Coturnix japonica: one gene and its partners. The protein of the gene in region 3 interacts with the protein of the main gene of each other region in a biochemical or structural test. Links are inferred from orthologs where the notes say so. Each region holds a gene or a part of one and is shown on either strand. Other genes may lie near its edges.

Region 1 (7,741 bases), on a different chromosome or scaffold from region 3:
GACTTTGTCCACAAACTGGAATTTGAAATTTCAAAGGGGAGTTGTTTAAAAAAAAAAAAAAAAAAAGCAGAAGGGACCTTTGCATGCGTGGGGCTGAGTGTGCTGCTGACGTTCTGCTGGGACTGTCATTCCTTCTCTGCTTCCTCAGCTCCGCGCTTCCCTACCTGCTTCCTTGTTGGAACGGCTCAAAGGGCTGCCTGCAAAGCCCTGGCCTTCTTCACAGCTTTCCTGCACTAGGGATGCTCAAGATCCAATGGGATGAAGCCTTGAGCAGCCCGTGCTGCTCTCAGCAGGCCCTGTGTGGTACAGGATGTTGGGTAGAGACTCCTGAGGTCCCCTTTAACCTGAATTGTCCTTTGGTCACACAGCACTCAATTGTGGAGGAGCCCTGTGAGAGGCTCACCCACCTCAGACCAGGAGCTAGCAAGCACGGTATACCCAATGGTATCCTTACCATAAACACCACATTAAATATTCTATTCCCGATCCTCATCTACTGATAAGTACAGGTCTTATTTTCAGGGAATTCCCTTTCGCTTTGGATTAGTTTGCCAAAGATATAAAGTGGAATTTGTGTCATGAGGTGCTATAGTGGAAAAAGACAGAAGGATTTATCGCTCAGCTGATAAAAATCAAATATTCACTTAGCACAGAAGGCTGCACGCCCTGGGGCTGTAATGGCTCCTCTGCAGCCACCTCCTGGCATAGCTGGAGGATACAGAAAACATCTCTATCCCAAAGCATCTGCGGCACATCGTGATCCTATTAACTACTATAGGGTGCGGTGACATTGGCAAGCTGACCCCAAAAGCCACCATGTGGGGATGTGGGACAGAGACATCCAGCAGCTCAGTTTCCAGGCAGGGTCTCTGTGCCATGAGCCCATCCCCAGGGCAAAGGAAGTGCGTAGTGTCCTTCACCCCAGTGCTGAGACAAGGGTTTTGTGAGGGGGCACCAGTAGCAAGAAAATAATAGCCCACATAAACCCACAGATGGAAAACTCTGCATCCCTGCCTCGTGAGCCACTAATGCTCCCCAAACTTCCCCGCTCCTTATCTGCCTCTCCTGCACACAGTGCCTCTCCGTCTTCTGTTCCTGGCTCTCTTAACCCTTCCCACCCTTAGGAGCAAATGGCCTTATTTTGTCAGCAGGCTATTGAAGCAAAAGGGTTGTTTTGCTGAATGGAGCAAAACGGGCCATGCTTTTATGGTATTTTACTAGACACTGTGGCAAATCCTGCACATATTTGACCAAGTGTCTGTAGCATTTATCTAATCAAAGGGATCACTGTGGCCCAAGCAGGGCTGGGACGGAGGTCCCTGGGATGAGGCCACCTCGGGGCTGTGCTCTGTCTCACCACCTCCACCCTGGTGCACATCGTTACTGCAATTTTGGCTCAGGGCTGTTGCTGCTACAGGGGAGAACCACTGACTGCATGAGAATAGAGGTGCTATTTTCCCAGCAGAAGATGATCACTTACTGCCAACCCCAATTAAGATATCAGGAGCTTTTCCTTGCTCTCTGTTTTGCTCCTTGGCTGTAAGGTAAAAGCACTCCCTGGAAGCGGTACATGATGGGAGGCGAGGACTGCCTGAATAATCCTCAGTGCTCCTAAACGTGATCAGCAAATCACTGCACCAACAGCACGTTTCACTGTGGGGCCACGGACCTCAGGGCCACACTGTGGCTAGGAGGGGTTGGGGAGTCAGGGCTGTGCTGGTGCACTGAGAAGCACAAACACAAGCAAGTTTGGAGCCCAAATTGGCAGCGTGTGGACTCGGTCACCTGGTGCTGATTGTGAAATCAAGGGGATGTTTTCAATGCAGAGCGAGCTGATGCTGAATCATTAATTGCTTGTTTTCCCGTGCCATCCAGACGACGCCGTTGGGTAATCAATTAAATCTTGCATTGTCATGTGGTGCAAATTGCACTGAAACTTGTCAGCCCTGCAGAGGAAAAGCAGGGGGCCCAGAGAGTTCCTGGGGTGGGCAGGGGGGAAGCAGGAGCCCTGCTACTCAGTGGGGTCCTGACACAACACCTTGGTGATGCCAGCAGGCGTGATGCAGCGGAGAGCTCTGCTTGGCTGAATTCATAGAAGGAAAAATCATGCTGCAGAGTCAAGCCCTGCTGCACCATAAAACACCCAATGAAACTTTTAAGAGGCCAAAGCCAGGCCAGGGTGTGTGTGACAGCAGGCAGCCCATTGCCAGGACAGAGCAGCCTGGCTGTGCCCAGCGCACCCAACCAGCCCCACTCGTCCCTTCACTATCCCTTCTGTTGCGTGCCTGGCACTCAGGCAAACCCTCACCCCAAAGGTTGTTTGGGCACAGCTCAGGAGCGGGACCTGTTTATAGGGCATTCAGCCCCTGTAAAACTGGGTTTATAGGGAAGTAAAATGAGTCCTACGTTGTTACTTTGCATAGCAACGTGTAAATCGCAATGTGGGTGCTGACCTTCCCTGGGAGGGAAAGGGAGAGGAAGGGAAATGCTTTGGGAGGGAGGGAGAGAGAGAAAGGAGGGATCAGGAGTGAAGGCAAAGAGGGGAACGCAGAGGTAGGAGTGGGGCACAGCCTTGTTTCCCAGGCAGGGATTTTTCCAGCCTTCCCAGCACTGGTGCAGCCCAGCACCAAGGTCAACAGCCCCACAAAGGTGTTCCCTGAGTGGTGAGTGCTTCTCCCCGTGTGTTCCTGGGAGCTGGGATCAGCACAGCGCCTCGAGATGCAATCATAAACAGTCAACAAGAATCACTGCAGCTCCACCAAAAAGAAAAAAAAAAAGCCAAGCCAACAGCCAGGCAGCAGCGTTAGCCAAGTCAACAGCTACAGCCACCCAGCGTTAGCAGTGGGTGAGATGATTAAAGATTAACCCCCTGCCTCCACCCCTCTGAGGAGTATAGGTCTTGAGGCTCAGCAAATCCTTTCAGAGAAATATTTGAAATAAAAGACAACAGATAGGGGACGCAGTGAAGGCACAGAGAGGCAGAAGGGCCAATAGCCTCGGACAAGGGAATCGGCACAATCTGGCCCGTGTTTGCCGATGATAATGCGCCTTTCCAAAGCCCTGATAGACATGGAGATGGCCGATTATAGCGCAGCGCTGGACCCGGCGTACACCACCCTGGAGTTTGAGAACATGCAGGTGCTGGCCATGGGCAGCGGTAAGTCCCCTCCGGTGGCGACGGGACGATGCATCCCCAGGGTGGTCACTGAATGGACTGAGGAGGGTGGGGGGCACGGTGGGGATCCTGCTGCCCCCAGAGGGAAAGCGAGGTGCCAGAGAGGTGCCCTGGAGCCTCGGGAATGGGATTTGTGGTTCTCAGCAGCCTTCAGACTGAGCTGAGGGCAGAGGGGTCTTGTCAGTCCTGGGCTCCCACAGAAAGGAATAAAAGAACCAAGAAGTGCCAACAAACTGCTACCTGTGGCTCAGCAGAAAGCCAGCCCTGTTCTGTAAGAGCAGCTGGAGCTGAATCTTCCCAACAGCAGAAAGCTGCTTGGTGCATGGCCAGGGTGCAAATCATCCCAAAATGCCACCCAAGGGCTGCTCTGAGGCCATGGCCCCGCAGTGCTGCTGTTCAGGGGGAGCACGGGGCCTGCAGTGCTGCAGGGCTAAGGGGGGGACCCGGCTGGAAGGGAGACAGCAGCCCTGGTTAGGGGGAGATGGGCTCCCTCAGCAAGGTGGGATCACACTGAACCTGCTAGAATTTGCAATAGTGGCCCATCCAGTGCAGCGCCAGCAGCACAGCTTTCCTCAGGATGAAACTCTGCTCCCCATGAAACTGAAGCTGCACATCTCCCTGCCCAGGGCTGGCCCTACATGCCCCAAAGCCACTCCTTAGCCCCACCAGTGAGCAGCTGAACCTTTGGGACAAGGCACAGCTCCACTCCCAGCAGGGAGAAGCCAGGGGACCTGCCCTGCACAGGGGCTGTGAGCTGGGTTCTGCTACATCTGGGGGTCCTACAGGACTGGCCCAGGCACAGTGTCACATCCCACAGCCTATGGGCAGATGAGCCAGCTGGGTTATGGGGCATTGGCTCTGTGCTGCATGTGCCCAGCACCTGGCAAGAGGCAGGTACCACACAAATTAAATATAACTCCAAATGAATGGCCATTAAACTCACTTCACCACAGCAGCCAGAAGTCCATGTTTCTGGCATTATAAAAGTAAGCTTAACTGGAAAGTTATCCATTAAGAAATTGTTCTATTTCTGGTCAGCTCTTAGATCAAGAGGGTGAGATTTCTTTGGTAACTTCCTTACCTGTTTGCAGCATGATACACACACTGCTAGAGGAGATTTATGTGAACCATCACAGATGAGCATAGTGATTGGGTATGGGTTGGCTCTGTTTTCCTCTCTTGCAAAGCTCCACATTTCAATGGAACTGAAAACCTAACATTCTTCCTGGAAGAAGCATCATCCAGCATCACCCAGCTGAGCCCTTGGAACGCAGTCAGAGGAAGGACCTGGGAGGAAAGCTGCTCGCTCTGCCCTGCAGGACTGAGGGACACATGGGCCCGGCACTGAGGAGCAGAGGAAGGAGCCTCCAGAGCTGGCACAGGAACACAGCTCCTCAACCCTGCAGTACAGCAGGGTGTGCCGGGCCTGGAGAGAGCAAACTGTGACTCAGGAGAGCAATAGAGGAAAGATGTGAGGAATTAGAAAGAAAGCAGGCAGGGAAGTGAGAGCTGCTGAAAGAGCTGGTGGAGATGCCCTGCATGAGCTCACTGCTGGGATCACAGCAGGCACCCCAGGTCACTTGTACCCACACATCTACATCAAGGGGCAGCATGAGGAGGTTGTGTACATCCTGCTGCAGAGCCCACTTCAACCCATTTCCTGCTAAGCAGAAACTAAAGTTGAAGCCCTACACCTGATGTACTTACCTTAACCCTCTACAACTCACAGTTCCCAGTCAGCAAAGGCACCCCCCATATCCTGGGACCAGCCCTCTCAGAGCATTTATCCTTCTGCAGCCCCTCTCTGATGGGAGCCAGGTGGGAGCAAATGCGGCCCTCCTGGGTAAGTGTTAATTGCATCCCTGCCAAACCCAATGGGGGTGTGGGGAAGGAGAAGGTGAGAGGGGAGATGAGGAGCACTGAGCTGTTCCCCATAGCCTTGGGGAGGTCAGTGCTCACCCCTCAAAGTGACTGCCAGGCCCTCAGAAATGCAAGGTGAATGTTCTCTGGGAGCCCTGTTGGTTGTACAATGCCCACCTCTGTGCTATGGGATGCAGGCTGGGTCACGAGCAGTGCCTGAGAGGTCCTCCTTGCTATTCTGTCATCCTCTGACCCTCTGTTGGCCTGCTGATCTCCACTGCTGTCCTTTGAGAGGGCTGTTAGGATTGACATATTCCGGTGTTAAAGTCTCAGTAGGTTTCTATGGCTTTGTAGATCCTAGGTGTATCATTTGCAAACGGGATTTCCTCTGAGTCCCATGCTGATACAAGAAAATGTGCTTGGGAGGGGACAATTAGATCAACTGAATAGTGAGCTGATCCCTTCAGCCTTGGGGTTTGTTTGGCTTGCCGGAGGGATTTTAGTCTAGGGCTTGTATGGTTTTGAGCCTTTCAGGTGTTCTCTCCTACACAGGCTGCTGCAATTCCCCACCCTCCCAAAAACACACTACACATACCAGTCCCCTTACAGCTTGTAAGGACTGCAGGGTGCATCTCACATCCCATACTCTGGAAGGTACCCAGCATACAGCCTTCGCCATGTTATAGTGCTGTCCTTTCTTTCTGGGTTGTCCCAGTCAGTCCCTCCTCACATGGTGGGTATTTGTCCATGAGTTCTCCAGCTGAAGCCATATGCAATTATTGTGCACTAACAGCCTCTTGAAGCCTCTTTCAGTGCAGTAACACCAACACTTCGCTATCAAACCAGCAGCTCACCCCAAGCTGTAAAACCTCAGCTCAAACTGCACCAACTCGTTCTCTGGCCATACTGCAGAGGCCCAAAGCATCTGCAAATCCCCCAGGAATTTTGGCTGTGCTTTGTGACAGCTGCAAACGGGTTTCTGTGTATCCTGAAGGCATTGCTGGAGTCGGGCCTTTGGGAAGAGCTGCTCACCCTGGCGCAGCAGCAGCATTAGCACATTCGAGATGCAAAGACTTGGGACACCCGGAGCACCCACCACTTCTTATGACCTGCTGCAGCTGCCCAGTTCTTTGGTAACTTGCTGGAAAAGGAGTTAGGAGTTGTCAGCTGTCTGTCTCACTGTGTTCTTGCTGTGTCCTTTCCCAAGCAGACACATCTCCATCAGAAGCAGCCAACCTCAACACTTCCAACAGCATTGGGGTGAGCGCACTGTGTGCCATCTGCGGGGACCGTGCCACAGGGAAGCACTATGGGGCTTCCAGCTGCGATGGCTGCAAAGGCTTCTTCAGGAGGAGTGTGAGGAAGAACCACATGTACTCCTGCAGGTAAGGGCAGAGGGGAACAAAACAGCACCCAGCAGCTGTGCAGCAAAGCTGAGTGCTGCAGCATGGCCCTTCATCTCCTCTGTATCCTCCAGTGTCTTCCCTGACCTCATCCTCTGGCGATAAGCTCTGGACTTAGTGCATGTGAAGCACACGGCTGCTTGCAAGGCAGGGCTGTTTAGGCTGTCTGTCCAAGAAGACCCCTCCCCACAGCTCTAGTGGGAAAAGCCAAGGCTCCCAGTTCTCCTGACACCAGATCTTTTATGACAGTGCTTAAAGATCTGCTTTCTGGCATCCATTTGAGCAAATCTTAGCTTGGGGCTTTCAAAAGTGTGTTACAAACAGGCCTTCCCAGAGCTACAGAACTCTGCATGGCTGGGAGCCCTTTCATAGATCTGTATGCCTTTGTCTTTGCAAGCTTGATCAATCAGCAGCTAATCAGAGCATATTTGCAAGTGAAATTCATGCTGCAAATGGCTACCAGGCTTATGCTGCATACGGGAGATCAGTGTAATGCACCGTCATCTGCAATCAATGTGGTGATACAAGTGGGTAGGGAAGGAGCTGGGTGCTTGCCATCTCCTCTCTGAAGCACAGGCAGCTCAGAGCTGCTTGTGTGCCAGCGATGCTGTCCAGAGGTCAGCAAGAACCTCCTGGAGCCAACACTGCCTTGGAGAGATGTGGGGACTTCAGCCCACTTCTACCCCTCCCCTCTCCCCCTCCCCTCTCGCAGGCTCAGTCTCACTGCTCCTCACTCCTCTGTTTCTCCCCAGGTTTAACAGGCAGTGTGTGGTAGACAAAGACAAAAGAAACCAGTGCCGATACTGCAGGCTTAAGAAGTGCTTCCGAGCAGGGATGAAGAAGGAAGGTGGGTGCCTTCCCCTCCCTGCCCTCAGCACAGACCAGCCCTCCCTCATGGCAGGACAGGGAGATGCTGGATGTTTCCATGAGCCCCAGGCAGGTCCAGCTGCCCACTTTAAGCCATACAGAGCCCTTGCACTCAGTTAAGCTTCAATCTCAGTTCCAGGGGCCCTATTCAGATGCCAAGAGAGAGCCACCAGCCCATGCCCATGTCCCAGAACTGACCACCCCCCCCCACCTTGTACCCACAAGTCACATCCACAGCTTTCAGCTTCTCACACTGAGATGCACGAAGCTCAGAAGAGGCCTGAGTCATTCAGGAGCACTTTGGGAGAACTGCTGTGTCACCTACAAATCCATGTCTGGACAGGTGGCTCCAGCAAAGCGTGCAACAACCCTTTTGCATCACAGTTTGCTCATGAGGATGTAGGTCCTTTAGGGCCCTGTGCAGAGAGCTGAGTTG
Region 2 (6,668 bases), on a different chromosome or scaffold from region 3:
AGCTCCCATCGAGGAAAGAACTGCCAGAGTATTATGAATTGATAAGAAAACCAGTGGATTTCAAAAAAATAAAGGTAAGAGCATTTTTGAAAGTGGAGATACCTACATTTCTTTTTCTTAGACACAGGTGAGTTTAAAGTCAGTATTTGAATGACCACAGTATACACATTGAATCTATTTCTGTGTCTTGGATTTTAAACATTATCGTATCCTTTGTGATACTGTATGATGAAGTTCATTTAGTTTGTATTGTAGTATGTTACCATAATTTCAAAGTTAAATAAAAGTTCAGCAGTTACATGAATGGTACTTTTAGAGATGACATAGAACCATAGAATGGCCTGGGTTGAAAAAAGGACAACAGTGATCATCTAGTTTCAATCCCCCTGCTGTGGGCAGGGTGGTTAGCCACTAGACCAGGCTGCCCAGAGCCATATCCAGCCTGGCCTTGAAGGCCTCCAGGGATGGGGCATCGATAACCTCTCTGGTCAGCCTGTTCTAGTGGACATCTCAATGTGTGTTTTTTGTAAGGGACCAATAAAGAACCATATAAATAAATCTTTAGCAAGATAATACCTGTGGGAGAATATATCAGTCCCTGAACTAATCTGCAAACACAGTTTGGCAGATGTTTTTTTGGCAACTTCTTGAGCATTAGATGATGTAACTCTGTAATGCTGTCCATATCATAGCATATTGTATGCCTGTGCAGGGAAAAAGAAATAGAAATTCCTTTTAGCAGAAAAGCTCAATTTTGTATTTTTTGTCCCTTCCACTCCACACAGCAATTGCATGTTGTTTTTTGTTTAATTTTTTAACCTATTGCCCTATTGTGATACTTTTTTTAGTATTACATTATTTATATGTTTTATTGTTCCTTAGTTTCTTTTAAACAGGCACTTGTTTTGATGCATTTTTAAAGACAATGTATTTTCAAAAACTAATTCTATGTCTTGTCTGCTGTTTTTTGTTTTGTTTTGTTTTTTTCCTGCACCACTGCCTCTCTGAACTTCTCATTTTCTTCAACAAATGCAACAGGAAAGAATTCGCAACCATAAATATCGGAGTCTTGGGGATCTGGAGAAGGATGTCATGTTGCTGTGTCATAATGCTCAGACATTCAATCTGGAGGGATCACAGGTCTGACCGAACTAATAATTGCACATACAGGTTTTCCCTTCCTAATGCTTTCAGTTCTTAATTGGTGATTATATTGTGCCTATAAATGCTGTGTTTTAATTCGTATTTTAAATAGAGGAAATTGACAGATTCTTGGAATTATCCAAAGTTCTCTGGTCACGGCTGAAGTGGGAGCATGCAGACAATTTGGTTTTGAGTCCAGTTCTAAGATCAGCTTGTTTTGATCTGTGTGTAGTTCCCAGCTGTTGTAAGACCATTTGAATCTCTGCTGGGTGCCTGTTCATGTAGAGTGATACATGGGTTTAGGCTACCAGATTGGATGGCAGAAGGAGCAGGTATAATAGTACAACTTTATTCCAGAGGCAGAGGAAGTGCTTAGTAGTGAACTCTTCAGGTCTTCTAGTACAAGATAGAAATTCAAGGTCCAGATGTGCAGTTTGTGTATGAGTTTATATAATATTCTCTTAACCTTTGGGCTGATCTTTCTTTCTATATCCATCTTGAAAGTTAGTAATTCCAGTTGAGCCTCAGAGGTTTGCAAAGCAAAATTCTAACCTCAAATGTTTTAAAGATACGATTGTGTTCAGTCCTGTAAATTAGGAACAGAGGATACTGATGCAAAATGAGAGACTACAAAATCTGGATAACAGATGAGAAAATTGTCACGTGATGTAGTGAAATGTAGCATAAGATGCATATTTTTACAGTGGAGCCTAAATTGTGGGATACGAATACAGTATGAAATTGAAGTAAAGGACATGAAAACCACATCAATAATGTGAAAAAGAAAAATAAAAATTCCCTTCAAGAAGCCTAGGTAAATTTAGCTGGAGGTTTCATGTTGCCAGGATTAATGCATCATCTGAATAACTATACGTTATTGATAACGCTTTGCTAAACAGGTGAGTTTATATGAAAAATTGAGACATAAGAATGAAATTGAGCATGCAATTAGATAAAGGATTGATGAATACAATTGTTTGTTTTGTGTTTATTTTTCTTATATAGAGACAGAAAATGCTTTCTGTTATACGTATGTGTGATATTTTTACTGTGTTATGTGGAAGCAGCCTATAAAAATATCTGTTAAAATTATTTTAATAAAAATAATGACAAATCGAATTGTGAAACAGAACCTTTACTAAATGTCCAGAAGTAAATTACCAGTTTACTGCTAAGTCAAGTAGCTGTGAATTAAATAAAAAACAAACTAAAAAACAACAACAAACACAAGAAAAACCCACCCAGAAAGTACCATTAAAATTGTTTAAGGGAGAGAATGACAGTAGTTTAAAAGGGATAAGTAAAAAGTAGTAGATATGTGAAAAAAACAGTTATGCTGATGGGAATGAGTTGCTAATCCAGACTGGAGGTGATAGATAATCCACTGGAGGTGATAGATTTGATAGGAACACTCTTGGATGGGTATAAACATTCAAGATTTTGTTACCCTGTTTGGAAATAGGTTAACCAGCTTCAGAGTTCTTTTCCGTGCTAGCAGACAAATTTAACTACCAGAGTTGGTATTGCCTTTTATTGTATAAAGGCCAAAAAACCAGTATCTAGGTTTTGTTTGTTGTTGTTTATTCGTTTTGTTTGTTCAAGTTTTTATGTTGTATTCTCCTAACTTTTTGTTTCCAGTGAATTGTGGGACATTTTTCCACTTGTCCTCCAGTTTTCAAGCTTCCCTTACATTTGTGATAGTTCAGTTCTATCCTTGCTGTGACGTACCAGTTTACTTGAATAAACCGGATTATTGTGTGCACACCCAAAACAAAACGGCTACTTTGAGCAGAGCTGTTCAGATACAAAGCAGCATCAAGTGAAATTCTGCATGTTCTTTTTATTAGTGTTGATACATTTTTCTTGTGGCCAAGGAATTCCATTCGAGCCAGAACCTGATGAGNGACAGACAGACTTCTTTTTGAGACTTCTGTGCTCAGTTTCACAAAGTTTTTAATGTTGTAATGGTCAAATGAAAAACAGACATGTAAGAAGTGCATGTCTTTTGGAAGAGAACATTTTTTTTGTTTAAGAGTTTGCAGAATTTTAAGTTTCTTTGTTACTGTTTTTTTCCTGTTTTGAAGGAAATTTTGCTGCTATTGCTGGTTTTTTTTTTGTTTGTTTGTTTTTTTTAATGATTCTTGTTGGAATCAAATTATTTATTAAAGTAAGAAAACTTTTTATTTGCCTCGCTTTTCTGAATGCAGCCGTAAGTCTTTTCTGAGTCATAATAACCAGTGAGTATCTACAAAGAACTCCGTATTTAGAAAGATGCCATTTTTAAAAATCCCTTTATTTCTCTACGAAATTCTGTTAAAAGGTCCAGATCACAGTGAGATCTTAAGTATGTATTGACTGGAGTTCAAAATACAATGTTGTACTCTTCTTTAATTATTGTTATCTTAAAAATGTGTTTTCTCTGAGGAAAGACTGGCAGGTTATTGAGGGGCAACCCTAAGAATAATGTGATATGCTAGGCCTATGGGAACAAAAAAGAAAAACTAGGGGTCTTCTAGGGATAGGAAGCTTTAAAAATGTTAGGTGTAAAAGAATATTGGTGATGATTACCCTTCAAGGAAAAAAAAACAAAACAAAACTCTGGGATCTAAAATCCCATTAGAGGCACAATACAAAAGGGAAAAAAGCCACTTCAAAACAGTTGTAATGGTTATGTATCTTGGGTGTTGAGAAACACTTGTACCCTATTTATGAGCCATCTTGACATCTCTTAACAAAAGCCACTGGAGTACATATGGAGTTGGGAACAGGGAACTAGCTGCATTGAAAGGCACTTTTTCTGAAAGGTACTTGAAAATAAACTGAAAGAAAAGTTTGTGTATTTCATATGAAGTGTTCTGAACCAAGTTTTTCTAATTCTTTTTACTGAACCTGCGAAGTGTGAGAGTGGTTTTATCAGTTTTTTGTGTATAGCTTGTGTAATGACAGCCAAAAATCTTCCCATTATTTTTCTCACATATGGACAGTGTTACTTTACACAAGAAAATATTTTGTTTAACTGAAGGAGTAAGTGAGGATGGTGAGGAAATCACATACAGTTCATGAGCCTTTACTGTTACATATATAATTGTTCTTAATTATCCAGTGCTTTGTCTTCTTACCAAGAGAAGCAGACCGTCTCCTTTGTTAAGATGTTTGTGAAGTCTCAGTTGGGGAGACTATGATATCTCTGTTACGTTAATCTGAGAAGTGCATTAAAAGCCAGATGTGGTCTCATATATGGATGCTTGACGTTGAAAATCTGATGTGACAAAAGCTCTCAGCAAGTTAGCCCATGTTCAAGATAAGGTGTTAAGCTTTGGATAGGCACTGATTTTTCAGTCCTTTTAGATCTGCAGGGAAGGATGGGATGCTTGGGATAAATTAATTTTCAAGCAGCTGTTTTGGGCTTCTGGAAAAACAAATGATAATTAACATAATCCACTTTTGTAATTGAAGAGCTTACTGCTGAAGGTTGTCATGTTGGGAGGTTTTCAACACATAAAATGTAATGAAGACATGGAAGAGCCCTTGTGCTATTAGAAAGGGTAAAGAAAAACATTCTTGATTGGACTTTTAAACATATTTTAAGACTTCTATTTTTGTGAAAAATTTATTTATCTTTATTGACAATTTCTTTTTTTTATTCAGGACATTAATATTTTATGTTTATATTTCTTGTAAAGCATGCAGTGTTACTTGTAATTTGAAAAGGCTGTATATTCTGTAGGCTTCCAGCAGAAATGAAGGTCTGCAGTATGAATTTTTTCATGTTGCTTGATTTTACAGCTCTAACATAGGTTTGTATTTGCATTGTAGATCTATGAGGATTCTATCGTTCTTCAGTCCGTGTTCAAAAGTGCACGACAGAAGATTGCCAAAGAAGAGGAAAGTGAGGATGAGAGCAATGATGATGAAGATGATGATGAAGAAGAGGAGTCAGAGTCAGAATGTGAGTCCCCTCTAAATAAAGAAAATGTGGGGAGTAATTAAATGTTCTGGTTTCTGCTGTTAGATTGAGTTTTCCATAAAGGTATGTAACTTTTCACAAAGTTTACTGCATTCACCTTACGTCTTTGTTTTCTATTTCTTCTGGCTGTATTTCTTCATAGTAAGCTATTTTCAAACAATAGAAACAAACAACAGAAGAGCTACATGAAAACAGGTTTGACTGGCCATGACTGTTGATAAACCCTTTTTGTTCTATTCATATAATTTGTAAATAAAAGTAGTAGAAGGTTTAAATACAGTTTTGATCCACGAGTGATCAGCCTTTCAGGCATGATGCAGCATGAAAATCATCACCTGGTAAAGACAATGGTGCAAGTATTCTTCAGAGGGACAAGGACAATGTGAAACTTGGATTGTTTCAGAAGCAGGAGGTGACACCCATTCTTCAGAGGGCCAAGTTATGGGATAGGACAAGGCTGGACATAATGTCCTGCAGGTATTCAGGGTGTGATGTAGGAAAAGCTGGAGCATGTATTCTAAGAAGGAGAATGTTGAAACATTGTACTAGTATGTTCTCTCCCTTGGTGAAATTATTTGTCTTTTCCAGTTTGAAATTTAATGTGGTGCCTATATACTGTTCCACCGATTAATTAATGTATTAAAAGTGTCCTAGTATATTGACAGTCACAGGTGGAGCAAGGATTTCCCATACAAAAGATCTATCTCCATACAGCCTTTCAGTTCTCCTTGCTGATTTGTATTTCTTTGGTAGAAAAAGAAAAAGGTGATTTTTATTCCAGATCTGCCAGTCATCTCCTTTATTGTTTCTCATCTCATTTATTGTTTCTGTAATTTAAAATGACACAGTTGTTTGCTTGTACAAAGGATAAACTTGTCTATATACAAGTAAGAAAGTATTTTTATGTTTGCATCTTCCCACAAAACCAGATACTACCTGCTGAACATGAAAAAGAAGAGGTGTAACAGTCAAGTTATACTCCATAGCTTAATACAAGTTATTGCTACAGTAGTCAAGAAGTAGAGAAGTAAAAGCAAGTATCTCTGGTTAATTGTTCAATGGTCCGGGAAAAAAACAGGGAGAGCATCTTCTTCTGCTACCAGGCGAAAATTTCTAAAAACAGAGACAGCACTTAAAAGTTGATAGGTGATTTTCAGTAGTTTATTTTATTCACAGTCATGTATACTTTTACACTTTCTGCAGCAAAATCTGTGAAAGTCAAAATCAAGCTGAATAAGAAGGATGAAAAAACTCGGGAGAAAGGAAAAGGCAAGAAGAGGCAAAGCCGAGCAAAAGCCAAACCTGTTGTGAGTGATGATGATAGTGATGAGGATCAAGATGAAAATGTAAGTTTTGTTGACTGAGACTGTGGAAGTGGTTACAGTGATTGCGTCTCTGCCCTGTCCTACTCGCTGTCAGAATTCTCACCTATTCATGCTTAAGCACATATTTAATCTGTATTCATCATCTTGAGAGAATTTGGCAAGGGTGTTAACTGTGTCTGGGTTTGTTTAGGAGATCTGGTCCCAGTGCTGAAAGACAAGAAGTCTTAATAGTT
Region 3 (7,656 bases):
GGGGGGCAGCCTGCAGGCACGGATCAGCTCCAGAAACACTTTCAGAGGGGTGCCCACGTTCCCAAAAGGCATAAAGGAAGGAGGGTTGAACTCAGGCAGACGCTTTAAATCCGCTTCAGAGACGGTTTCACCCTCAGCCTTCGTGTCTGCTCCATTGGGAGACATCTCTGTGCCTGCAAGAGGGAAGGAGTGATCTGGGGAGGGACCTACAGCAGAGAGGGGTAAATTGAGCTCTCCTGGGGAGGTCTGGGTAGAGGAACAGCCCCCACACTGACTCTGCTTGCCCCATGTTGGAAATATCCTCAATAATTTTTGGTCAGGACGGTATCTCTGATAAAAGCAGTTTCTATTCGTGATTGCAATGGCGGGCGCCCTGATGGCAGCAGCGCCCCTATGGACATGATGTTACAGTTTTGATACCTTTTCTCCCATATGTTTTCCCCTCCCCTCTCCCCTTTGGTTGGGTATTCCAGGTTACAATGTTACCCGAGGTTTGCATTTGTTAATTACATTCTGAAATTTGTTAGTTCACTTGCTATCTTGTCAGTCGCCGTCCTGCTGGTTCTGTTTCCAAGATGTCTCGGTATCTTATCCTATTGATATGTTGATTCCCTTCAAAGCTTCTTCCATTCTGTCCTAGAGGCCTTTGTTAAACAAAGAGCCGGGGTGGGGGTTGTTGCTAGTTTACACAGGCATATTGTTAATTATTTTAACTTCTCCTCTTTGGATCCTTTATTACTCAGGTCTTATTTGTCCAGCATCAAAAACCAGTAGTTCTATTTCAGACAGCTGGACAGCCAGGAGCTGCAATCATTGTACCTAATAACTACAAATCGCTTCACTTTATATAACGAGACCTTGAAATAAAACATTCTTATTCTAAATGCAGAAACAACATTTGATTCCCACACCCAGAACAGATACAAGGTGTTAAGGAAACTTCATTAAGGGGTAAAGGCTTTATCAAAGGGGGGGGTCCAGTCCTACCTGTCCCGGGGCTGAGCCGGACCCTGCGGACCAGGCAGCGGCCGGGCAACGAGGCCCCGCCGGGCCCGACCCATCGCCGGCCCGAATACATGCGGATAAAGCGCCGGGCCCGGCCGGGCCGAACGGCAACCGGGCAGCAGCACCGAGAGGGAGATGAGGCCTGATCATCACATCCCGTAGGAGGGAGATCGGGGCGGTGGCGGTAGTGGAAGCAAAGGAAACCGCCGGCTTCTAGGAATTGGCTGAAGTAGGAGCGGAGATGGGCGGAGCGCAGCGCGGCCGGGATGCCGCTGATCAGGCAATACCGGGCAGCGGCGCCGCCATTAGGGAGCTCACAGCTCAGCGCCGCCATCTTGTCCACCCAGCCGTGCGTCACAAGGGATGGGCGCGCGGTGATGACGTCACAACCGTCTTGAGGTGGGGAGGATGGCGCCGCCTCGTGGCTGGGAGGGGAACTGCAGTTATGGGGTCAGCTGGGGGGGACCTCATAGATCCCCATAGAGACCCTATAAACCCCATAGAGACCCTATAAACCCCATAGAGACCCTATAACCCCATAGAGACCCTATAGATCAGGTTGCCCATGGCCCCGTCCAACCTGGTCTTGCACACCTCCAAGGACGGGGCAATCTGTCCCCAACGAGCAGCTGGAGCAGCAGTGCTATGGGGTATGGGGGCAATGGGGGCTGCTCGCTGTGCTGGGGATCCTGCCTGCTGCTGGGTCACTGTGCCAGCAGTGTGTGGTGTGCCCAGCACACAGTGACTCACACACATGTCACCGTGCTGAGCAGCTCGTGGCTGGCGTGGGCCTGCAGGGATCATGGGGTGACTCACACCAACCCACCTTCCCTTTGGAGAAGGGCTGTCAGGCTGAGATCCCCTTGGAAGCGACCTGCTGTGTGTTGGCACGGATGGGCAGCACACAGTTCTCCCAGCAGGCTGCTGTTCAAACACGGTGTGTTTATGGTGGTGGGGAGCCAGGAGGCTTTGTATGGCTGTTCTCCTGTGGGCTGAGGGCTGTGTGTGCACATCCAGGTGAGTCAGCACCAACCTCCTGCATCAGCACCTCCAGGTGTGGCTGTGTGCGTGAAGGAAGGTGCAGCACAGACAGGCTGCAGTTGTGCTGCCTCTGCAGGTTTCAGTGCACAGAGCAGTGTGTGCCCAGCACAGCTCATGGGGCTGCATTGCAATGCTCCCCTATGATTCCCTATGATGCTCCATCCCTGCATTCAGGTGTCCTTCCCACACTGTACCTCCAACAGCTATTTCTACAAGTCCAAAATGCCAGAAATATAACAAAAAATCACCAAAATGTGACACGTTTTTATTAAAAAAATAATTTACTGCATCTTATGTACAAATCAAATGAAGGTCCGCTCATTAAATACTGACATCAGTGACAAAAGCTGCAGGCAGGAGAAGCGAGCTTTCCTACTATGTTGAACCAGCTGGAACTCAAGGCAGGGATGTTTGTTCAGTGTCTGTAGCTCAGTGTGTTCCTGAGCCATTCCAAGTATTGCCATATATATATTGAGGTGTATAGGGAGGATGAAGTGGTGTTCATGCAGCGTTATTTGCCGTACGTTTCACTGCTCTTAGGTAATCCAATCTGTGAGCAATCCTGTTGCAGCTCATGGCATCGTGGGGAGGAGATGCGATGTGATGAGAGGCAGGAGGCGTTCATGAAGCTGGCTGCACGCCCTGTAAGATCTGATGCTTCTCCCTCCTGCTGTCTGAGGAGGATTCTTGGTGGCTGTCTGTGAGATTTCATGCACAGCAGACACTGGCTGATACTTAAAGATCTAATTCCTTACGGCTTGCACCTGGTTGTACTCTACAAGTGATACCACCGAAGATACTCAGCACCCCTAAATACCACTATCAGCACAGAGCCATCACGGGCAGCAAGTTGAGGTCCAACCTCATCTCATGGAGTTAACAAAACACACATTGATTTTAATTGAACTGAGGATTCACTGAGATATAAAAAGCCTGGAGCAGGCTCTAACTCAGTCTGCTCTGTGTCACAGGGCTGGCCTGCTTGCTAGAAACTCAGTACCACCAGCCACACACACTCACATTCCTCAAAACAGACTGGCAGAGGTGGAGCAGCCATGCTGAATCAAGGCTGCTTTCCTTTATGCTCTGAGCCCTACAGCCTAGAGAGAGGCACACGCAAAGCCCTGTGGAGCTGAGTGCCTGACTGCCTGCTCCACAGTCCTCCCTGCTGCCCTGCCAGGTGTTGTTGAGCACCCCCAGGGCTGTGGCAGAGCACAGCAGCTCACAGAGCCACGCGTGGTGAAGGAGCCGGCTGCCAGCTGGTGATTTCATACAGCATATCCACGATGAGCTCGACAATGTCTGCGTTGCCAATGATGGGTCGGAAGAAGAGGTCTGTGATGAGGGCAGGAGGGATGGATTTCAAGGTGGAGGTGATGAGTAAAATGAGGGTAAAGCGGTCCTGGTCCTTGGGGTGTAGGATCTGCACAACTTCCTGAAGCGCTCGCTCGGCTTCCCGCTGGAGGCTCTCGATGTACAGGGAGGCTGTCAGCCCTGGGACATCTGCCAAGAGAAAGGAGGGAAGGATGTGAAGAGGAAGGCTGGAAAACAGCTCGAGGTTTCTCCCATCTCTCTCCCCGTATCTTGGAGAAAAACCTCAGAGCCATTAACAACATGTATTTCAGGGCTGTTGCTTTGAGGGAGTAAATACAGCTAATGAAGCAAACATGGGCTTTGTAGAGTAAGACCCAGGGTTCTTTGATTGCAAGGTAAGGAGGTCTCTGCTTTTAAACACTACATTTTCAGTATCCCTCCTCCCTGCTTCCCAGAGGTAAACTGCATTGCTGGTGCTAATGATGTGAGCAGCTCTCCCTGCTCTCACACACACTTTTGCCCAAACTCTGAGCGACTCCAAGCCAAGAGCAGTGTTTTTAAATGCTAACTCATGCAGGGCTTTCTCTTGCCACCAGCAGGCAGAGCTGGGAGGGTTGAACACTCACCAGGATTAAAGAGAATGGCTCCCTTCAGGTAGGCGTATTCTTTGGGGCTCAAGTCCAGGCTCCAGAAGGTGTTGAGGCTGCACTGCAGCCACTGCACAGCGGCCAGCATGGGCTGAGTCCACTCAGGCTCCTGCCTTTTGCTTTGGCCATCGAGGAGGATCTTCTCAAGCATGCTGGGGGCTGGGGTCTCCATCACCTCAAATGTCACCGTCTCCTGGACCAGCCCCAGGAGGAAGAGGGGGACCCAGCAGCTGTCCAGCAGCAGGAGCTGGTCCCCTCGAGGCAGCAGGTGGAAGGAAGGGAGGTTTTTCATGAAGCTGATGGTTTTCACCAACACGTCGGATGCAGCTTGGCAGGTGATATGGGGTGTCCGGAGGCAGACCGTCCAGCGCTGGTGGCACAGGCAGCGTTGGTGAGGTGGGCTGTGGCTCAGGTTCTGGCTGAGGAGGGTGTAGAGAATGGCTGGGTGTTTGTCTTCATGCTGGCACTGACACCTCTCGCAGTCCATGTCTATGCTGCTGGTCATCAGAGCAGAACTGGGAGCCCCGGATCCTCTGTGAAACTCCGCAGATGGGAGAGACCTGTAAGTTTCCTCCCCGTCTCAATCTGGGAGTGACCTGTCCTCCCAGCTCTGCCAGCACATGGCTGTTCAAACAAGCTCTTATAAGGCTCGGTCACAAGTGGAACACCCCTTCCCAGCCTTGACCGCTCCGTGATTAAGCGGTCCTCATTAAAGAAGAAAAAAAACAACAAAAAAAAAAAGCCACCAACCCCAGCTGTCCCCAGACTGATTGGCTGGAACCAGCAGGATCTCAGCATGGCGTCAATGGCCGTTTTCTCAATGAAACCCCAGCAGGGGCAGCGGGTTGGGCAGCCTTATCACAATTACCCAAACAGTATAAACAAAGTCATTAACCCGGGCTGTACCATGGCACCAAGGCCCCACGCTGCAATCAGGTTGTGCTATCTGGCAGCTGTCGCTGCCAAGGAGTTCACACACACACACACATACACACACACACATACACACACAGGGTGTTCGTCTGAAGCGAGGACCCCATGGCAAATGGCCTTGGAAAGAGCAACCTGGAAGTCATTTTATCAGCAGCTGTTTGCCTAACCTTGTTGACAGGAGATCGGTGTTGTTGCAGTTAAGGAAGGTGGTGAACTGAAAGACTAAACCTAAAGGCAGCAGCCCATTGTGCTGAAGGAGTAATGCTGGGTAGGTGAGAGGCAGGTTTATAGGTTTTTACCTTGAATTGCTCTGGAATTTGTATGTTTTGATCAGCATTAGTTAAATGACAGCACACAATTATGGATTCCAGTGGGGCCTGTGAGGAATTCCTCACACAGGGGGTGCCTGGTGAACCCTGTGAGGATGGGAACAAGTGATTTGGCAGGACACGGGGAAATGGTTTTAAGTTAAAAGAGGGAAGATTTAGGTTGGATGTTAGGGGGAAGTTCTTCACTAGGAGAGTGGTTAGGCCCTGGAACAGGCTGCACAGGGAGGTTGTGGATGCCCCGTCCTTGGAGGTGTTCAAGGCCAGGTTGGACGGGGCCCTGGGCAACCTGATCTATGGGGTCTCTATGGGGTCTCTATGGGGTCTATGGGGTCTATGGGGTCTCTATGGGAATCTATGGGGTCTATGGGGTCTCTATGGGGTCTATGGGGTCTATGGGGTCTCTATGGGGATCTATGGGGTCTCCTGGGCAACCTGATCTAGTAAATGTGTATGTTTTATGGCCCTGCCAGGCAGGGGGTTGGAGCTACATGATCCTTGAGGTCCCTTCCAACCCGGGTCATTCTGTGATTGATTCTGTGATTTAAGGGCACGCAGCTCTTGGTGCACAAATGGGATGGAACTGATGGCCACACTGATGGCTTTTCACCAAAAAAACACCCATCTACCTGCATTTGTCGGCCAACACAAGTCAGCCTGGGGAAGCGGCAGCACCTGCTGATTGATTTAATGGAGCAATAGGAACCCTATGGGGATAAGGACCACTCACTCTAATGCACACAGCTCTCAGTGCAATGGAGTGAACCCAGCAATGAGGCCTACAGCAGCCACAGGGACCAGCATAGCCTGTCCATACTGCAGATTACAGGCTCTTTGTGCTGCTTAGGCCTGGATTAGAGGCTCTTTGAACTGTGTGGTGTCTGTGGAGGAGATACAGGTAAAGCCAAGGGTAAAGTACCCGGATGTAGGCGACCCCATGGAGCCTTCTGGAAAGGCCTAGGCCCAGGCCCAGCCGTCTCCATAGCAACCGAGCCCCGCTCCACTCTTCCCGCCTCTCCATCCCGCCTACGGCCTCGACCAATCCGCGAAGGCATCGGTGCAGACGAGCGCTGCGATTGGCTGTTGATTTCGGTACCTCCCTTTCCGCTTCCGCCCAGCTCGCTTCCGGTTCCGGTGAGCGGTAACGTGAGGGCTGTGAGGAGACCGGTGAGCGGAGAGGATGGGGCTGAGCGCGGAGGAAGCGGCGGAGCAGGAGGATCGTTTCGATGGCATCCTCCTGGCCATGGCCCAGCAGCACCAAGGCGGCGTGTGCGAGGTAACACCGCCGCTCCCGGGGCGGATAAAGCCCGTTTGTGCTGCCGGTGGTTATTGGGTGGGGGAGGAGGAGCGGGCGGGCCTAGGAGGAGGGGGGGCAGCACGTGACTTCCGGCCCCGCCATATTGGAGGCGGTGGGGCCTCCATGGGGCTGATATGGGGGGCGTGTAATGGGGCTGTTAATGGGATGCAATAGGAGTTTGGTCCTTTGTAAATCAAATGGGACACAGAGGTGGGTCTGAATAGCAGCTGGGGGTGCCCACATAGGTACAAGTCCAGTGTGATCTGTGAATATCATACCTACACTCTGTTAATGTAGATCACATAGATGCCTCCCCTGTAGAACTGATCCAGGAGGTGGATTTTCAAGCAAGCCAATGGGAAACAGAGTGTTTCATGATGATCCTGATCATAATATGTGCCAGCATATATGGATGTGATCCCCTCTGATCTCAGAGGCACAGATAGGAAGAACAGAATAAATGCTGTTCATTAGACACGAGGTGCCTTGGAATGATCTGGTCTCATTGCTCTGTTTTTTTCCCTGTTCCCTCTACCAGCTTGTGAACACATTCTTTAGCTTCCTGAGACGTAAAACAGATTTCTTCACCGGTGGAGAAGATGGTGTAGCAGAGAAGGTAACAAACCACCACCCGCCAGTTGTGATGTCTTTTGATTTGTGTGTCAGCCATGTTTGTGCCTTGCTAAGCCTTCACAGAATCACAGAACTGTAGGGGTTGGAAGGGACCTCTAGAGATCATCGAGTCCAACCCCCCTTCCTTTCCATCCTCAAACCCTCTAATGAATTTGGGGATGAGCAGATAAAACACCACTGAAACCAGGTGACAATGAGCTGTCCCTATCTGTGGTGAGGCACGATTGCTTGTTCAGGTGATCCTGGTGCTGCAGGTTTTTGCCATGCTCTGGCCAGAGGCTTGTTTGGAAAGCAAATCTGCCAGACACACACTGACTTAACGGTGACAGACACTGCAGTGCCGATAACCGCATGTTGCCTTGTTTGTTCACCTCAGGAAAAGCTCAAAGTCCACGTCTCCACACAAGCAGCTGCACCTTTGTCTCTGGGTTGCTGTAACTGTAAGGACTGAGCGTGCCTT
Region 4 (6,963 bases), on a different chromosome or scaffold from region 3:
CAATGATGATATGTTAGAGCCAGCAGTTGTCAAAGCACCGTATTACTGTGATGCCATAATGACACCCTGTCTCTGCAAAGTAGTCATGTTTTCTCAAATCACACGTTGCACCGTTGATTTCTGACATGACACTTCATTCAGTCACTTGCCTTTTCTTTGGCATCTCCATTCTCTGACAATAGCAGCTGGTGCCCATTTTCCTCCTAAGTGATTCACATTTTGCCACTTTAGTGGAGTGCAATTAGCTGGAGCAGAAAAAAAAAATGCTCGATGTGAAGCAGTGTGGCTGAGATTGTGCCATGGCTCCTACATGGGACCTGATTGGGGTGTTACAGGCATCTGTGTCCCTTTCCACACTGGTCTCTTCTCCTGCATTCAGAAATACAGGTGTGGGAATGACTTCAGTGTGTCTTGCAGGTCCCTTTTGATTTTGGTGCAGATTCTGAAAGTGAGCATGGTATTTGAGTGGAAGTGCACTCTTCATGGTCAGAGTGAGGAGCTGGGCTCCATCCCTCACTCTGCTGTAGGTTTCTCACATGGACATGCTTATAGGCAATGGTTCTTAGTAGCCAAAAGGTGAGGATAACAAGGTGAGATGTTTGGGATCTGCATGTGTGTGGGTTAGAGGACCGTGCATGAGGAACATTAGATGGATGGCCCTGTTAATGCACAGAGCACCTACATGTGCATAATGACGTCTGCCTCGCTGCTGCTCCCACCAGTAGCTGTCACTAAAAATGTCTGCTGGTAACAGCCTGGCCTTTATGGAAATAGAGCAATTCTCTTTTCAAGAGAAGAACTGAAAACTTCATGTGCAGGTAAAAGTGGGCTTTTGTGCTGGTTTATAATAAAGGTGCTCACTGTAATTATTGTGACTAATTACTGCTCACACTGAAGCCACCAGTACAGCTCTGAAATAGTGAATGATACTGTAAGCAGAGCTTTTTGTTCCTGAAATATGCCTGCTGATTAAGAAGTATTGTCCTGGGCTTTTTGACCTCCTTTAGGCATTGACAATAAGGGAAAAACAATTTGCCGAACCAATTGTGTGTGTGGATACGTACAGCTCAAATGGGAAGGCTTTCTTTTTTTAAGGCTATATGCTGTAATCAGATGTGGTTAATTTTTGCACTCTGCTTGTATATTGATACTGATTTAGCTAGTGTCAGCGCTGTCAATATCATTAGCAACGTGGCAGGTAGATGGAAATATGAATGTGATTGCATTAATTAATTCTTAATATATTCAACCTTCCATAAGCACACAGCATATAATTTGCTCGCTATTGTTTAAGGCCACTTTGAAACAGGGCTGGGTTTTGAAGTGCTCCATTGGTGTCCTTTTCTACCAGCAGAAACTGGCTTCAGGTCTCACTCAAAGACAGAAGTCGGGAAGTGAATTTAGCGAGGATGTGAGGAGTTGTACTACATAGTGCATATTACTAGCAGTTTGCAGCACTCTGTGCAGTTTGTCCTGCGTGCAAATGTGGAATGATTCAGGAGCCCATCAGCTGCTTTCTCTGCAGTTCCTCAAAGTTTACCTGAGCATTCCTGGTTGTTTGAAAACTTCCTTGGAGCTGCTGTAGCTTTGACTTAAAATATAGTAAAGGAAAAAAACAACCCCACCAAGGCTTTAAAATAAATACTGCACGTTTTTATATGACACATGTTATTTCTATTCATAAACCTTAACTAAATTTAGATTTTTATTAATCCAATGTGACCTAAAAATTTTGCATTAACAGCACAATGTGGAATTGGGCTTATTCTCTTTGAATGCAGATAAAGCCATCATCTTGAAAATAGCTCTTTCTGACAAAAAGGTGTTCTTTTGAAATAAAGTCTTATTCACTACATTCCTCTTAGAGTTAATGTGAATTTTAGTGCCTCTAATTTTAGATTGAAGTGAGGTTTAGAATAAAATCCACCGGCTGACAATTGAATTTATAGATAGTTGTGAATATTTCAGGCTTGAATAATAGAGCTGTAGAATTTCAGACAGAGAGAGGAAGGGAGAATTAAGCTCCGACTGTAGTTTTAGACTATAATGTGGTGGTGTCTAGGAATTCTTCAGGGTAACGAGCTAAGTAGTAATTAGGAGGAGCGGAGGGAGGGGTTGTAGCCTAGGCAGTGCTCCAGGCTCTGGGTTGGTGGTACAGTGGTGGCCCCAGCTGCCATCCACACAGGGCCTCTTCGGCCATGCTGTGGCAGCAGCAGAGCAGGGTGATGGATGCCAGTGCTACCCAAGGGTGCACAGCCCTTCCCCTGGTTTCCTGCTCTAGGACAGAGAAATTTTCTCTCCTTCAGAACTTGGCTGGTGTTTTCTGCTTCCCGTGGAATGGTTAACATTTTATGGGCCTTACCTTGTCATCCTGCATCAGGCCGGCCCATGCTACGGAAGCTGCAGCTTGAAGCAGCCATATCTTGATCAGCACCAGAAAGCACAGCTCTGGGAGCATCATCAGGCAGGCTTTAGCCTGCACAGAGCTTCTAGTGTGTGTTCCTGCTCGCAAAACTGTGACCGCAGTTCGGTTCTGACTGCTTCAAGTGGAGACAGCCACTTTCACACCGGCTAAAACCAATACATTTGGACAACTAATTAATTGCAAATGGCTTTTCTGGGAAGCGGAGGGTGACTCTCAAGCTTATTATTGCACAAATAAGAGAAAAAGCAGAAGGAGGTTTAGAGAGACAAGAACGTGCCATCAAACTGGGCACAGGAGTCAGTATGCAGAAGGTTTCTTGCTTTATTCTGAGACTTGTCCTGTGGGCTTTTAACAAGAGGGGTAAGAGAAGATCACCTGGTACCTGTTTATTGGTTGAAAAGGACCTCACTGTCAGTGTAAAGAGAAACAATGTAAAAATAAGTTGTTGGAACGTGAATGTTAATTGAGAATTTTAATCATGGCTGTATAAAATTGTGTCAAAGAAAGAGGAGAGAGAGACAGTGCGACACCGTGTTTTAGTACCCTAATAACTTCTAACTCCAGTCTAAGATCGTAATGTATGTGAGAGCGGTCCAGTAATTATAAGGTAATAAGTGGAGTGGTGGTGTAAGTGCTCTAAATTAAAAGGAATTTGCAGAGCTGCTGTAAGTCAGCGCCGACCCGCTTTCTTTCAAACGTTGACTTGAGAAAAGTGCTTAGCCTGGAGTGCAAGTAGAGAGACAAGAGAGAGCTATCTATTAATTACAGCACTCATTAACAGTGACGGCTACAAGGCAGCAGATGCAGAAGAAAAGGCACACGGTACTGCAGGCTGGCAAGGGGATTTCCCCCCCCCTTCCAGTTCTTGAGGAAAGGACAACACAAGCAGGTGGTCCAGTGTAATAAGATATTTCCACAGCTTTAACCTTCCCATTTCCTTGGCTTATTTGCTGACATCAGGTAGCACATTCCTTCCACCTTCCCAAATAAGTATGGATTTTAAGTTTGGGGGTGAGATTTCTGCACATCAATCTGGCCGCTATCCAAATTCACATCTAGCTTATTTTCAGTAGTATGTTCCAGTAAAATTTACAATGATTGAGAGATCCTGAATAATTCTGATGGGCACTGATTTTTATCATTAATCTTATCCTAAGCAAATACTTAGTGAGGAATGGTCAGGCTTTGATCTTGATTACACCCATTGGAAAATATGACAAGTCTCTGGATTGATGTCTGTTTTCCACTGGTTTCCATTTGATTCTGGAGCTTGAGGTAAAAAATCATATATTTAGTACATACACATTGAATACGTACGCATTTATATTGAATATGCAAAAAGTTGAGTGAGTGATGTCGAAATCTCAAAGCTGACTTGAGAAAGTTACTCTGTCAGATTGTCTGCACTCAAGCACTTGAATCATGAATCTATACCTCCAGGTGGGTGGCCTTACGGAGTAGTTGCATTTCTGCTGAAAATGATTCTAGAGAAATGCTCATAACTGTCATCTGTACTTGGCAGCTTCAGATGCTACTGTCAGGAAAATGCTGGGTAAGCCATTTGCAACTGCAGTCTCATAATCACAGCTGTAGAAAATGAAGATGATATCTGATTCATAGAGCTTTCAGATTATTATTTTTGTTCTTTGTTCTTTCTAAAATGCATTTAAAAATAATATCAACCTTGGGCACAGAATGCGCAAGATTTTTTTTTCCCCCTTTAGAAAGTGATAATTTATTGGCTCAAATGTTTTATGATTTTGTTTCAGATGCTTAATTCTGAAAAGGTGAGAACTGAGATAGAATCTCACCTTCTGAAAGACAAAACTTCTATCTAAAATTTCCTCTAATATATTTCTTTAATCCAAGAATGGAACACGTAAAATGTCAGATCCTATAGAGCTGCAGATATATGGGATGCTGGCGTAGTTATTACTGGTTAGTCTGTGGATAATGGCTAGAAAGTAATTGCAGCCAGAGCTGATTAATCATTTCACTTAGATTTTCTGAAAATGGAGTCCAGCCTTAATTACTTGTTAGAGTCCCCAGTTGATGTGCTACTCGGTTACTAAATAGCTATATATATAATAAAGCAATATTAATAAAGAAAAAAAAAAGCTTGTGGGAGACATGCTCTTCAATTCTGAGATGAATTCAATGGATGATGGCTACATGTTTTATTCAAGTGTGTTGACAAATATTAATCACAGAGTTAAACGTGTGTGCTTAAACTTGAAAGTACGTGTCCCTGGTAATTGTGGAATTTACAGAACAAAAATAACTGGTGAAAAAATAAATGTAAAATTTCAGTAATCTAGTGGGACTTAGGAGTGTTTTGACTCCCTGGATGACAGGTTCAGAGTTTAGAGCCGATCTGAAGTTGACATGTAACCTAGAGGGCAGTTGGAGGGGACAACAGACGGGTTTGGTCTCTTAAAGTTTTTGTTTACTGCCTGTCTGGAGCTTTGACAAAGCTCTGTCGTGCCCTTATGCTGATTACCTTCATGTAGAACAAGAGGTATTGACTAATGAATGAATGATGTGCAGTCCCTAACCCTTCCAGAGCAGACCAAGCGAGCACTGTCTTTAATACAGAGATTCCTTTCTCTCTCTCCCTGCTCCAGGCTTCTCTGCAGAATGTCAAGCAAAGATCGACACATTGATTCTAGCTGTTCGTCGTACATCAAGACGGAGCCGTCGAGCCCTGCTTCTCTGACGGACAGCATCAACCACCACAGCCCCGGTGGCTCCTCAGACGCCAGCGGGAGCTACAGTTCCACCATGAATGGACATCAGAATGGGCTGGACTCACCTCCCCTCTACCCTTCAGCCACGGGGCTTGGGGGCAACGGGCCCGTCAGGAAACGGTACGATGACTGCTCCAGTACCATTGCTGAAGATTCACAGACCAAATGTGAATATATGCTGAACTCGATGCCCAAAAGACTGTGTTTGGTGTGTGGTGACATTGCATCAGGGTACCACTATGGAGTGGCTTCCTGCGAGGCCTGCAAGGCTTTCTTCAAGAGGACAATTCAAGGTTGGTGATGCTTTAGACATCTTTTCCTACTTCTGTTCAAAGTGAAGCAGTACAGTCCTTGATTAAATGATGGTACAACTTCAGGCCATAGCTTCTGATTCTTCATAGCATTTGGTCCTACAGATGATACTTGTGAAAAAGCCCCTTTGGGCTTTGCTGTAAGCTCTGTCATGTTAAACTCATTGTTATGTTTATTTTGCTTATCAAAAATAGTAGAGCCATCCAGTGCATATTTAGTTCTTCTTCTCTGAAAGAGTTCCTTGTGGATTCTCATCAATGCTGCCATGCAAAGTGATTATTTTTCTTAAGGTTGTTATGTATACCTCTTGAACACACCTTGCGGCATGCACAAGTTATGCTTGGGTTTTGCTCCTAGCTATATGACTACCATACATAAATCCCTACAAAAATCCTGTATATCTTTATCAAAGCACTAGAGCGTTTAAGAATGGAACAAAATGTAATGCTGTAGTGTTTTGTTAGTGTCAGACTATTAATAAAGTGGCCTTTCACCCGTACAATGTACCATGGCCTTAACTGGTTCACCAAATGGTCTATAAGATCACATTTTAAGGACACAAAGTTGACAGCTTTTGGTCTCTGCCAAGTACCTTGTGTTAATCTGCTCTTGATACCTGTTACAAATATGCCACATATTTTGGCATAAATTAGTTTGAATGGAATAATTTGCACAACCACTTTTTCTAGCTACAGGACCTATGGAGACAAAATAACCTTCTACTTTTATTTAGATATCATCCTTTCAAGTAAAATTGAAGGTGCTTTATTTAAAGAACATGAGGACAGGCTTGGCCTGTACAGGAATATAGTGTCACATTAAATTAAATTCAAACTTCAGAGACTAAAATTAGGCTGCTAAGTCCAAATTTAAGCTCCTCAATAAAACCTCCTTGATTTTCATAGTTGCTGAGCACCTGGAATCCTCAGGAAAGGCACTGCAACCTGGTGGTATGCTTTGCTTTTTAAAACTGAGTTGTAGTAAGGAGAGTCAGGTTAGTTCCAATTTGCAATTTCACGTGGCTCTAAAATTGAAACATTTGATCAAAAATTTTTTTAGATATACTGCCTCCACATTTCATTTACAGTTAATAAACAAAAATAATGTTTCATTTTAAATTTAGCCATTACTAAGGTTTGTTTATTTATTTATTTTTAATTGATCATTTTACTCTCCACAACTAATAGTTGTAAGCATGCTGCTTACTCTGTAAGCATACCACTACTCTGGGGGATTTGGACCTTTTACCAGCATGAATCAGCCATTTCACGATGCCCATACTACCACCAGAAAGAACGAGCAGAGCTCTGTGGTTATAATGGAGCTGATTTTTATGAAGTTTGCGATCAGGAAATAAACATACATTCAGAAATTTCTGGTTACTTGGGTTCAAAAAAGCGTTGTTTGTTTGTTTTAACAAAAGCTGATTTGGTTTGACCTTCAAGAACATTTTTAGGAAAGCTGCTAAATTTCCAATGA

What was found.
Region 1: the proteins of NR0B2 (region 3) and HNF4A form a complex in vitro, tested with the Homo sapiens proteins (4 studies listed by BioGRID). The link is inferred for Coturnix japonica from reciprocal best matches to the Homo sapiens genes NR0B2 and HNF4A.
Region 2: the proteins of NR0B2 (region 3) and SMARCA2 form a complex in vitro, tested with the Homo sapiens proteins (2 studies listed by BioGRID). The link is inferred for Coturnix japonica from reciprocal best matches to the Homo sapiens genes NR0B2 and SMARCA2.
Region 4: the proteins of NR0B2 (region 3) and ESRRG form a complex in vitro, tested with the Homo sapiens proteins (2 studies listed by BioGRID). The link is inferred for Coturnix japonica from reciprocal best matches to the Homo sapiens genes NR0B2 and ESRRG.

What each region holds. Positions count from the first base shown.
Region 1 is NC_029535.1:4,771,738-4,779,478, reverse strand, and holds the start of HNF4A (hepatocyte nuclear factor 4-alpha), read left to right. Parts: upstream 1-2,898; 5' UTR 2,899-3,036; coding exon 3,037-3,157; intron 3,158-6,242; coding exon 6,243-6,420; intron 6,421-7,190; coding exon 7,191-7,285; intron 7,286-7,741. UniProt on the Homo sapiens protein: Transcriptional regulator which controls the expression of hepatic genes during the transition of endodermal cells to hepatic progenitor cells, facilitating the recruitment of RNA pol II to the promoters of target genes. Activates the transcription of CYP2C38.
Region 2 is NC_029547.1:24,039,599-24,046,266, forward strand, and holds part of SMARCA2 (probable global transcription activator SNF2L2), read left to right. Parts: coding exon 1-74; intron 75-1,038; coding exon 1,039-1,140; intron 1,141-4,959; coding exon 4,960-5,092; intron 5,093-6,313; coding exon 6,314-6,456; coding exon of another isoform or gene 6,457-6,474; exon of another isoform or gene 6,475-6,668. UniProt on the Homo sapiens protein: ATPase involved in transcriptional activation and repression of select genes by chromatin remodeling (alteration of DNA-nucleosome topology).
Region 3 is NC_029538.1:1,620,069-1,627,724, forward strand, and holds NR0B2 (nuclear receptor subfamily 0 group B member 2), read right to left. Parts: upstream 4,693-7,656; 5' UTR 4,513-4,692; coding exon 3,987-4,512; intron 3,550-3,986; coding exon 3,269-3,549; 3' UTR 2,291-3,268; downstream 1-2,290. Other genes in the region: GPATCH3 (G patch domain-containing protein 3), read right to left, coding at 1-173, 988-1,339; nuclear migration protein nudC, read left to right, coding at 6,447-6,542, 7,102-7,179. UniProt on the Homo sapiens protein: Transcriptional regulator that acts as a negative regulator of receptor-dependent signaling pathways. Specifically inhibits transactivation of the nuclear receptor with which it interacts.
Region 4 is NC_029518.1:17,710,594-17,717,556, forward strand, and holds part of ESRRG (estrogen-related receptor gamma), read left to right. Parts: intron 1-5,049; coding exon 5,050-5,465; intron 5,466-6,963. UniProt on the Homo sapiens protein: Orphan receptor that acts as a transcription activator in the absence of bound ligand. Binds specifically to an estrogen response element and activates reporter genes controlled by estrogen response elements.